Linked DNA regions of Caenorhabditis elegans. The protein of the gene in region 2 interacts with the protein of the main gene of each other region in a pairwise test. Each region holds a gene or a part of one and is shown on either strand. Other genes may lie near its edges. The genes, in order: rev-1 and rnp-7.

What was found.
Region 1: the proteins of rnp-7 (region 2) and rev-1 interact in a two-hybrid assay, tested with the Caenorhabditis elegans proteins (2 studies listed by BioGRID).

Annotation. Positions count from the first base shown.
Region 1 is NC_003280.10:7,898,448-7,905,167, reverse strand, and holds rev-1 (DNA repair protein REV1), read right to left. Parts: upstream 4,547-6,720; 5' UTR 4,522-4,546; coding exon 4,405-4,521; intron 4,284-4,404; coding exon 3,873-4,283; intron 3,829-3,872; coding exon 3,679-3,828; intron 3,349-3,678; coding exon 3,225-3,348; intron 3,173-3,224; coding exon 3,001-3,172; intron 2,956-3,000; coding exon 2,517-2,955; intron 2,473-2,516; coding exon 1,971-2,472; intron 1,924-1,970; coding exon 1,733-1,923; intron 1,687-1,732; coding exon 1,290-1,686; intron 1,241-1,289; coding exon 989-1,240; intron 936-988; coding exon 607-935; 3' UTR 501-606; downstream 1-500. Other genes in the region: best-23 (Bestrophin homolog), read left to right, coding at 1-35, 142-250, 300-403; ptc-1 (Protein patched homolog 1), read right to left, coding at 5,460-5,672, 5,723-5,834, 5,882-6,720.
Region 2 is NC_003281.10:7,158,315-7,163,136, forward strand, and holds rnp-7 (U1 small nuclear ribonucleoprotein 70 kDa), read right to left. Parts: upstream 2,842-4,822; 5' UTR 2,837-2,841; coding exon 2,687-2,836; intron 2,643-2,686; coding exon 2,460-2,642; intron 2,414-2,459; coding exon 2,351-2,413; intron 2,304-2,350; coding exon 2,225-2,303; intron 1,431-2,224; coding exon 1,097-1,430; intron 1,029-1,096; coding exon 839-1,028; 3' UTR 598-838; downstream 1-597. Other genes in the region: nuo-4 (NADH dehydrogenase [ubiquinone] 1 alpha subcomplex subunit 10, mitochondrial), read right to left, coding at 1-72, 118-489; Pre-mRNA-splicing factor syf-2, read right to left, coding at 3,002-3,225, 3,274-3,625, 3,673-3,801; K04G7.1 (Integrase zinc-binding domain-containing protein), read left to right, coding at 4,440-4,496, 4,540-4,649, 4,698-4,822.

The DNA.
Region 1 (6,720 bases), on a different chromosome or scaffold from region 2:
CTGTTTATGTTGAAAGTTTGGATGATGAAATTCGTGTAAGTCTGAAAATCTAAAATTTTGGAACAATCTAAAAATATGATCTACCAAAACCATGGAGTTTTAAATTTGTAGTTTTCAATCTATAGCATAACTTTATTACAGTTACTTCATACAAGTGCATCGTCAAAACTATCAAATCATCCACAACGACAGCATCTTCGGAAATTAAAATTCAATGTAGACGCAATGCAAGTGCAAGCAGTTCCGGGAAGTGGGAATTTCATAAAAAAATATGAAAGTTACTATTTTTTAAATTTCAGATCATCTAAACGAACGAGACGTTTCCGTTTCAACAACTTCAAAACTTTCATTCGCTGATCTGGAAAATTTGGCAAATGGTCCTAGAAATATTCCAAAGTTTTGAGAATGGATTTCAAACTGATTACAAGCTCTTTCCTGTATTGATCTCGACGTCTTCTTACTGGTTTAATATTCACGTCTTCACTCATTCATTCCTTCTCTTTTTGAATTATAAAAGTTTATTCAATGGTCTTAAATATGTTATTTATTCATTTTAATTTAATTATTTTACAGAAAAAGAAAAACAATATTTTACAAGATTTAAATTCAGGTATGTTTAGTGGAATCAATTACAAATACTTCTTTTGGAACAAATGGCTCTGGTGAACTAATTGATGTGTTATCAGTGTTGCTGGCAATCATAGCTCCCAAATTTCGAGTGGTAGCTATGGGAAATTCAAGCAGATCTTTTGATTCTTCTTCGATGAATGGTACCATCAAATGGAATACTGAAAACCAAGCAGTGTCGCATCTACTAGAATCCATCGAAATCTCTTCAAACTTTCTGAATACAGTCTCGAATGCGGAAAGTTTTCCATAGTTTAGCAACGTTGAAAGCATTTCCTGTAAGTTCGTAACACTCTCCTTGGTTGGCTCTGAAAAAATTGATAAAGTTATTCCATGAAACATCAGATTTTGGGTATCTCACCATTTTGAATAATACATTCCAATTCGGCCAGACGATTTTCAACTAATCCATCATCTTCCAAATCTTCCAATTCGAGGTTGTTGTCAGATCGTCCATTGAGAAGTGTGGATTTTACAATTTCAGGAATATCTATGTCATTTGCCACTCTAAAATTAATTTGACGAGGTATGCTTTGCACTTCCAGATCTTCAGTCACAGCTGGAATTATCACAGGTTCTTTATCTAGTTCATCTTCGTTTCGCGGAATAATATCTGAAAATACAGAATGTTTTCAATAAAATTTCACTACTTAAATACTAACTCAATTGTTCGTCAGTTCTCGCCATATTCCCAACTCTAGAGGTCTTCCCAAACATCTCTTGCACTGCCGTTGCCGCATCTTTTTTCAATTTACTTTTCAACTTTCCACAGGTAACTCCAACTCCACGAAGATCTTCTACTTTCGGAGAAACTTTAGCATATAATTTCATAGCTTCTGATGTGAGAGACTCTCCGCGTGTAGTTGGAACGTTTAGATTACACGTTTTGGTAAATGTATCACAAATTCCATGTCCCATGAATTTGGATGTTTGTATAGGAGCATTTGCTGAACGTACCATAAGCTTCAAAGTTATGGATCCTGCGGTTAATTTACTATCGATAAGTTTCCGTTCTAACTCAGCTCCAATAGCTGTCATGAGTTGAATAACTTCACCTCTCTGAAATATTCCATCGTTATACGGACATTTTAATATAATACATTACCTTCGTGAAACGAATACCATAATTGATATCACATGATACTGATTTTCGAACATGAGTAGCCCAAAAATCATCTGGATCTTCTTCAATACCACGACATTGTCGTAATATTTTTGAAGCCAACTTTGGTCCGAATACAGGTACAAGTTCCCGTTCAGTTTTTAATTGTAGTTCACGGCATTTTGTAATATCACCTGTAAAACTGAGAAGTTGATATTTTTATATTAGATACTGGAATTACCAAAGAATGAAGTTAATCTATTCATCATTTCGTATCCAAATCCTGGTAGATCTTTAACTTTTTCCTCGGAAATGAATTCATTTTTCTTATGTGCATTAACCCAAAAAACTCCATCTGGTTTAGCATGTCTTGTTGCAAGTCTTGCTAACAAGCTCGTAGATCCTATTCCAACACTGGCTGGGCATTGAGTCTTCTCTCGTATCACTTTACGGATGTGTTCAGCGAGAATTGTTGGGTCGTTGATTTCGTATTTTTCACAAAAACTGCTCATGTTTATATACATTTCATCGCAGGAGACTGCACGAACCTCCAATGTGTAGCTAGCCAGAATTTCATAAATTTTCCGACTAACTTGCACATAATCCTCAAATTGATATGGTAATAGAGTTAATTGTGGACACTTTTGTAGAGCATCTCTCACGAGCATACCATTTTTGACTCCACAATCACGAGCTGCATAACTGCAAGAAGCCACCTCGCTCATGCTATTCGAAATAGTTCCCTGAAAGATTTATAGTTTGACACGAAGCTTTTAAATTGATTTACCTTGCTATGAGTGATGGCAACTTCTTTGTGTTTCAAATCAATTCGATTTCTGACAGCAACTGAGACGAAGAAACAGTCTAGATCCACGTGGAATACTGTACTTTCCCGAGAAATTTCATTGCTAAGAGACTTCATATCGATGAGTTCTTTCTCTTCAAAACACTTTTCCGTTAGCTTTCCTTCCAGTTTCAAATTTGCCACAAAATCTTTCATATCCTGCGCGAGAGTAGAAATCAAATGAAGACGACTTCTGGCATAGTAATCTCGAATAAAGTTTGGATTCCGGGCATCAGAGAACTGATTCGATGAAGTTGTTTCATTGTTACCACCGGTGTTTCTAGTTGATATTGTTAGAAACTGTTGCATTTGTCCCTTTTCCACCGAACCTTTCTCGTATATCAAAAAATCTCGATAATCGAGTGGTTTTCCAGCAGCTATTCTGAAATACTGGTTTAATCGGAAGAATCGGGTTGATTATATTTACGATTCCGTAATCCAATCAGCTTTAATGAAAATTTCATTTTCTCGAATTCGATTTATTTTTGCTGTAGCAATTGAGGAAGCTATCGTGTATGAAGTAATTCCATGTTGATAATAACAGTGATATTCACCTCCGTGAGAAATCATCAAATCTCTGATAACAAGTGCTGGTGGATCTGAAATAAGTAACTGTAAAATCAGTCGTTAAGTTATGGAATATGAAATTACCTGTATAACCATTCACAAATACCGAGAATCCTTCCATTATTCTAGACACATTCTCTAGTGGTTTCGCATATCCATGATTCACCTGATGGTTAAGTTTAGTGATCTTCATCCGCATATAGTCATTCTGAAAAAAATGATTATTTCCTGTGGGTTATTATCAGTTAAGTGCTAAACTGTCCAAATGTCATAGTAAAACTTTTCAAAAAAGTTGTTTCTTTACAGTCAAGCGTGTTTTGAAAACTGAGAGGCCATACTGGAAGTCGGACAGAAAATTGTCTTTACGAGTTTATAATTTAATTTGGGTTTCGATAGTTTTTATTTAAATATTCTAGGATTTCGAATATACAGCGATGCTCGAAAAAAGTCCACATTTGGAATGAAACTTTTAATTTTACGTGAAAACGAAAAACTTTATTTATAGTAAATGATTTGGTGTTTTGGGCAAAAAACTCACAAAATTATTTATTTCGAAATTTTGTCCATGTATGGTGATGGTTTTCTGTTGATTCCAGTACTCGCCACTATCTGATGAAACAACACCAACTGGGCCATGTGCAGCGGATGTTGAAGGTTCACAATCATATGATTTTGGTTCTAGACGACGCTGTAATCTAGAATATTAACGATTGTTTTAATATTTCTACATACCTTTCTTGGTATAAGTTTGATATTATTTTGAATAGGAACTTCAACCGGTAGCATTGTTCCTTGCTTATCCATGCTATTTCCACCTTCTCTATCCGGATATTCAGCAGCTTCATGTTCTGAGTCAACTTCTTCAATTAAATCACCAAATATGTCTATACTGATATTTGCTGCCTGTTCAATGTCTACTTCTTTTCTTTTCTGATCTTCCGTTCTGAACGATTTTAAAAGATCAGCAAGTGCATCATTATCAGAATTATTTTCAGTTTCATCCTCTTCGTCACTGGATTCTAGCATTCGAGTTATTGTATCATCAGGATTTGCGCGTTTATTTTCATCTTCTAGTACAGTAGTATTCGGACAATTTTCGATCACTGTTACTTGGGAATATCCTGTTATTCCGTCGAATGAACCCTTAAAGAAAGCAGAAGTATTTTGAAAATAGCTATTTAATATTTTTGAAAACTAAATTTAACGATTTCATTGAAATTATTCGACATTCCATCGAACTTTTCGATATATTTGCAGCTAATACCTCATCTGAAACAATTATAGCATCACTTCGTCGTCGATTCACATTAGGAGTCGGAACAAACTTTTCAAAAGAATCATCTGAATCTGGATGATCGGTGAATGGGTCAGGAGAATGCATCATTCATTGTATTGATTTCTGGAATCAATATTTGTTTTCTGATTAATTGCGTCTTTAACCGTAATTCTGTCGACAAGTATAATTTCTCACAGTTCATACTAAAATTTTCTGAAAATAAGAATCGATAAAATGTATGTTTCATGTTAGAAAAAGTTTATTCATCCGAAAAAATTCGAAACAAAAAAATTGGAGATGAGGCGAAGGGACAATAGAAATCGAGAGGGGCAGAGAAAAATCTTGGCTGGTGCTAATAAAATAATTAAATTCCCAAAGCTCGCTGAGATCATTCACAGAGGGGAACAAAACAAACGGCGAAAAAGACCAAGTGGGTGCAATTGAAAGCAATACAAAAAGGTGAACAATACAGATATGTCAATTGTACTTTTTTCTCTAAATTGTACCGTTCCCCTTTTATCACTCGGAGTAAATATTATGCGCATGTTTTTTTCGATTGAGAAGTGGCAATAAATACCCAAAGAAAAAAGAAAACGAGGGTGCCAAAATATTCATCGATATGGATGCAAGAAAATAAAGAAAAATAATACTATAACAGATTAAAGCATTTGTCGTTTGGAAACCGCGCAAAATCTATTCTTTCAGTTTTGAATTTGTTAATTGGGTGCTAGAAATGGTGAAGTGTGTGAAAGTGTCAATTTTATAGTGATCATGTTAATTGCCTATATCTTGGAAATCTCAGTGAAAAAATCAACATAATAACTATAAAAGTGTTATACAGGGCATGGGAAGATCACCAGAAAGTGTGTAGTCGACCGTTAGAAAGAGAGAAAAGACAAAAATAATTTAAAAGAAAATATGACAACGAAACATTGGGAAAAAGGATAAGTTCACAATGCTCTGCATTCATCAGAAAGAAATTTACCCATTTTTACATTTTTGTAAGTTTTTAAGCTCCAAAAACTTGGAGCGAACTACTACTGCTATACAGCTGGCAATCGGCGTGTGTTATTTCCAACTGTTCCTCGATTTCCTCCTGATGTCCTCGTCGTTGGGGGTGCTTGTCTTGAGTACATCACAAGACCACTCGGCTCGTCATCTTCATCAGAATCATCGCCGCCAGATCGAGACGAGTTGGCATTCTTTGGCAAAGGAGGTGGCAGGGTCAATGTTGTCTTTCCACCAGTAGGAGAGATCTAAAAAAAATAAGATGTATACAAGAAAAATAACAAAATTTAGATTTTACCTCTCTCCTTGGGCCAAACCAAGATAATAAAACTGGAAGAAGAATGAGTCCGTTTATGATTCCAATGCAAATCAGAGCCGTCATGACAATAAAGAAATACTTGACAACAAATCTGAAAATAAAACATTCTGATGACATCCATACTTCTGTAAAACTCACTCAAACTCTGAGAATCCAAGCATCAAAATACCGAGAAGTGTGGAGAATGATCCATGAATGACTGGGACAAAAACTCGATCAACTGCAGATGACGTCCGTTGAGATCTTGTTCCGAGCGCCGTCAGGAATGATACAACCACATGAACAGTGAATTCGACTCCAATTCCAACTGCGGTGATCAAAGTTACGGCTGAAACCGGATTGAGCTTGATTCCAACGAGTCCCATGAATCCGGCAAGTTCGCAAGTCATGATTCCGAGAATACAAACAACCATAAGTGCAGCCCATGGATTGAAAAGAAGAACGGAAATGACGCAGAAGACAGAGATGGTAATGATCGAAATGGCTTGCATAAGATTTCCAGTCAAGAAAAGATATTGTTCCCAGAATGTGAATGCGATTCCTTGTGGGAAATTTGGAAGTCCTTGATCGGTAAATCGTTCACAAACACTTCTGATGTCCTTTATGGCATCGACAATCACAGCGGTATCCGTGAGGCCAGTTAAGTAGAATGGAATCTGCGAATATGCAAGTGGCTCAGCAGCTGGGATGAAGTTTTCGGTATGATTCTTGCTCAATTCCCATTTTGGTGGTGTTGGGAAGAAAGAAGCTTGAGATACATAGTACATCATGTGATCGACATTGAACCATGCTGTTAAATAGTTGTAGAATCCATCAGAGTTGATAATTCCACTTGCATCAACTAGTCGAATCTTTCCTACTCTTCCAGCACACCCAAATAGAGAACCATGAGAGCACATAAGAGCATGAGCAAGACGAGCATCCTCGGAAACATTGCTGCCAATAACTGTTCCAGATGTAAGATTGAATGATCCTTT
Region 2 (4,822 bases):
GGCAGCTGAGAGTTCACCACTTGGATTCTTATAGAACATGGAAATGTCTGGAAGACGGTAACGAGCTGGGAACTGGAATAATATTACATTTAAGAGTTAGGTTGAATTATTATTTACTTTATTATAATAATTGCGAAGATCATTTCCGTAGCGATCGACGAGAATATCGTCCATTCTAAATTCTGGGAAATGAACGAAGCCGAGTTGATCAGCAAGTTGTTTGGCTAAAGTTGTCTTTCCGGATCCAATATTTCCTTCAACAACGATAAGCTTGGAATTTTGATGGAAATGAGAACGAGTGTCGTCTTTTAATCCATCAATATAATTGAATCCATTGTGCTTATAGTCCCATGGTTCTGGATGTTCAGATGGAAGTCTTAGAAGACTTTTATGAACAACTCCTCTGACTTGATTTGAGAGTGCTCCTGATCTGGAGCAGGCCAGCAAACCGGTTGCCAGCCCTCCCAATTTGCTCATGGAACCCGGCATGATGGTCTTAACAAGGAACAAGATAATAAGATTAAATTGGAAAATGAACAAAATAAAATATTAGAATAGGTTTGAAAACCATTAGAAATAAATTATTCTACAGAAAATATTGCAATTGAAGCTTTATTAGAATCTGCCCTCGAATAGTTGAACTTCTGAGCAGAAAAAAGTCAATAACTTAAAAATATAAATTAGAAGATACCGTTCAGGTTTGAAAAAGTGTTTAGGAATACAAAATGATTTGAGAGGACGAGATAGAAAGCAGAAGGAAAAATCGGTAAATTTCAGATCGAAGGATACAAAACAAACATAAAAGCGAGGAAAATCCACAAGGCCTTTGGTTTCAGAATCAACGGCGATCACCATATCGACCTCCACCACCACCTCCGCTACTTCCACCACCGCTTCGATATCCACCACCGGATCCTCCACCTGTACTGTATCGGCTTCCTCCACGGTCACCTCCTCTATCACCTCCTCTATCACGATCACCTCCGTATCCACCACCACCACTTCGATCATTGAAACGATCACGGCCTCTGAAAATATTAATTAAAACAAGTGAAGAAAAATACAAATAAGATGTCGAAATCTTATAAAAACTAACCCTCCACCGAATCCGCCACCTCCACCGCGATTATCTCTAAATCCGCCCGATGATTCTCGTCGATCACGATCATTTCCTCCACCATTACGGTAAGAATCTTGACGTCTATCCCGACTACCACTTCTTTCTCTATCTCGATCCTCGTACCCACCTCCAAATCCAGACGCAATTTCACGTTCTTCAATGACTGATTTAGCTTCGCGAGTTTTACGAGTATCTCCTTTTCCACCGCCAAGTCTTCTAGGCAACCATGTCTTCTGAGTACGACCTCTTTCATAGTCGACAACTAGACGTTTACCATCAACTTTGATTCCGTCAGCTTTTTTGTAAGCGGCTGAAAATAATACTCGAATATTATGTTCAATAAGGAATAAGGTGAGAGAATACGGATTTGTGTGTCTACTCAATAAATATCTTACCTAACCTACCAAAAAAGCGCTCACAGGCCTCCATGTCATTCGCGGAATTGACTACTTACCCAACCACTTACCCGCGATTCAGAAAATGTGTTAGACTTCAAACTTACAGACAAAACTTACGGGAAAACTTACAAAAAGCGGCAAGAAACTTACAAAAATAATCCCAAGATGATTTTTTTGATGTTTGTGAGGAAAACTTACAAAGCGTGTACCTTACCCATTCAAAAAATAAAAAAATAAATCTGAATTCTTGGATTTTTTCCTAATCTAGTAGCCTAAATGAAATTCAAAGACCTAGTACTAAAAAAAGAGTTTATATCAGAAATTTTCAGCTTAACAAATTAATAAAGTTTTTAAATGCGATAATATGCCTAAAACCTTTTTAGCAAGCGTGCAATTTTAAATAATGTTTTTTTTCTTGGAAAGACTCGTTTCTTAAAATGCTAATTCCTTTTTTTTTTAATTTCTTGTTTTTTATTTGAGCTCACCAACAAACAAACCTATCAGAAATTAATCGATAGGAGAGTTGCGCGCTCTGCCATTCCCATTCATTTCCCAGGATTTCACAATGGCCGCGTGGCTGTAAAAATTACAAAAATAGGAGCGTGTTCCTTGAAAATTGGTTTTTAAAATAAAATTTCTGTTGTTTTTTTGAGCAAAAGGTTCAGCCAATGATTTTTTGTTTTATGACAAACAAACTGCAACCCACTATGCATCTCAGCCTTGTCACTGTATTCGATAAACGCGTAACCACGTGGTTTTCCTGCCTCGTCGTGGACCATTGTTAACTGGAAAAAACAATGAAAGCTTAACTTGGAAGAAACGAGACACTTACCTTTTTAATTTTACCATACGCTTCGAATTCTCGTCTCAACTTGCTTTCAGACGTTTCATAGTTCTGAAAATATAAACTAAAACACATTCTAACATTTAAAAAAACGTGCAATTCGTCCAACGAATAGAGTGCGATATGGATCCTCCGAAGCTCTTGGATTCTCAGCTGGATTCCACGTGGCGATTCCTTGTTCTACTTTATATGCTAACAATTCATCTTTTTGTCGTCTTTTTTCTTCTTTTGCTTCAGCTTTTGTTACTACTGGGATTTTTGCTGGAGTATCTTTCGGATCCTGAAAAAAAAATAGCTTCCAAAATAATAAAGTTACGTTCAAACCTCAAATAATTGAATATATTGAGCAACTCCAGTCATCGGAGCCCTTTTAGCATTTTTGTCCACTAGTAGGTCCTGGCATGGTGGAAGATATTGCACTGGTGGTCGTGCTTCGAAAAGCGCCAGAAGATTGGGAGGTAGAAATGCCGTCATGTCACCTGAAAATAATTTTTATTTATTATTTGAGTTTTGTAGGTACAAAGATTATCGAATAGAAGAGAGAAAATAGTATGGAATGGGAAGATGAAGAACAAAACAAAAGAAGAAAAAAAGTTGAAAAAATGTCTGAAAAAGAAAATAAAAAAGCGATCCTCGGTTTCAGATAGCTGTTCCACGTTCCAAATCGTCTTTGATATCTTCTGTGTACTTTCCATAGTACTTGTCCAGTTTCTTATTGAATTTCTTGTTTTTCTCATTGATGTAATCAATTGGCGCGTCAGGATCATAAAGTCTACGACGATGATATTGTTCTCGTCTTTTAACTTGGCCGTGAACATCTTTAGTGAGCTTATCCATTGCAGCAGTTGTCGGATAGTGATTTCCTGAAAACTCTTTGGTTTTTCTTTGAAATTATGAGTTTTGCTCCTTACCATGAATAAGTGTGTCAGCAGTTGGGTAAAACTGTTCCCCTCCAACGCATTCTCTCATCTTTTTGTAAGAATCAAGATCTGGATCAAGAGCAGCAGTCAGGCGAGTATGTTGACGAAGAGTCATATCTTCGTAAGAAGTAAATCCTTGATCTGGGTTCTTCTTTCTCTTTCTTTTTTGCTCAAGCTTCTCAGTAACATCTGCAGACATCTCTAAACTGCGAACACGTTCATAGTCCAATCCCTTGTCTTCTGCAGCTTTTCGATCTTGTAGCTCTTTAACCTGCCATTGATCTCTTTCCTTTTTTGCTTCGTGGTTTTTTGGAAGTTTGCTGCGACGATCTTCTTCAACGACCTACAATTTTAAATTATAATTGAAAATGTAAACGTTAAAACACTAACCTGTTCGTGATTCTCTTTTCTCGCTCTTTGGCGGAGTTTGTGAAGATCACGGAACCTCTGATTGAAATCCTTCATTTTTGATCCACTGGACGACGGCCCACTGCTGCTCGATTGTGATTCGGAAGACATCTAGGAAAAAGTGTTGAAGAGAAATCCAGAAAGTTGAGAAGAAAAGCTACATTGAAACGGAATACAGAATATTTTGAACATCAGAAAAAGAAGAACCGATATGATTTGAATTCATTTACAATCTATATTTTTTAAACCGATAGTTACATGTTCAAAACATATTAATACTATCCAGCTTTGCGAAACAAAGAAGGCTTTCTTAGAAATAAGCATGGTACTATCGATAAGGAGTTCAAAAATGGAAATAAAAACTTTATTTTCTAGTTGAAAATGCTGAGAATCGAGTCAAAATTGCGAAAATTAATCTGGGCGAGTAGTTCAACACAGCGCACTTGCACAATTTTCTTTTCTCTCCGCTGCGTAGCGGTCGCGTCGCGGTCGTCTAGTCTTGCGCTCGTCACACCGAACGCGTCAATATGTGACGTTTCGGGCCTTTTCTGCTCACTCTGGCGGTAATTTAAACATATTAAAAATATATTTTAATTCAAAAATATTTATAATAGACCATTTAAAAGTACTCAACATTATTCCAATTGTTCGTTCTTGTTGTTTTGGGCACTTTGAGTTTTTTCTTAAAATTTTAATTTAAATTTCAGCTGATGATGTTAATGAACAGTACTGAGATAGTTGACGACAACATGGTAGTCGAAGGATATGAGGAAATTGCAGTGGATGACGATATGAATGATATGAGAGTGAGTGTGCTTGAATCATTAATTTTCTTTATTCAAATTTAAGGAAATGGTTGCAAATGATGAAGATGACAGTATTCACTATGAAGCCCATGATGGAAGCGAATATGGTGGAATGCCAATTGACCAATATCAAGATATTGTTATGTTCAAAACGTAAAAAAAATTTTTCCTGAGTAATATAAATTTAAAGCATTATTCCAGAACGGACCAAGTTCCTGCAAGTGTCTCCTCTCGTCTTGATCGTAGTGCGCCGAGTCATTGGAGAGCTCGTTGTAAATGTTTTTCAATGGCGGACGATAGGGAAACTCTTTTGTATTACAATCCCG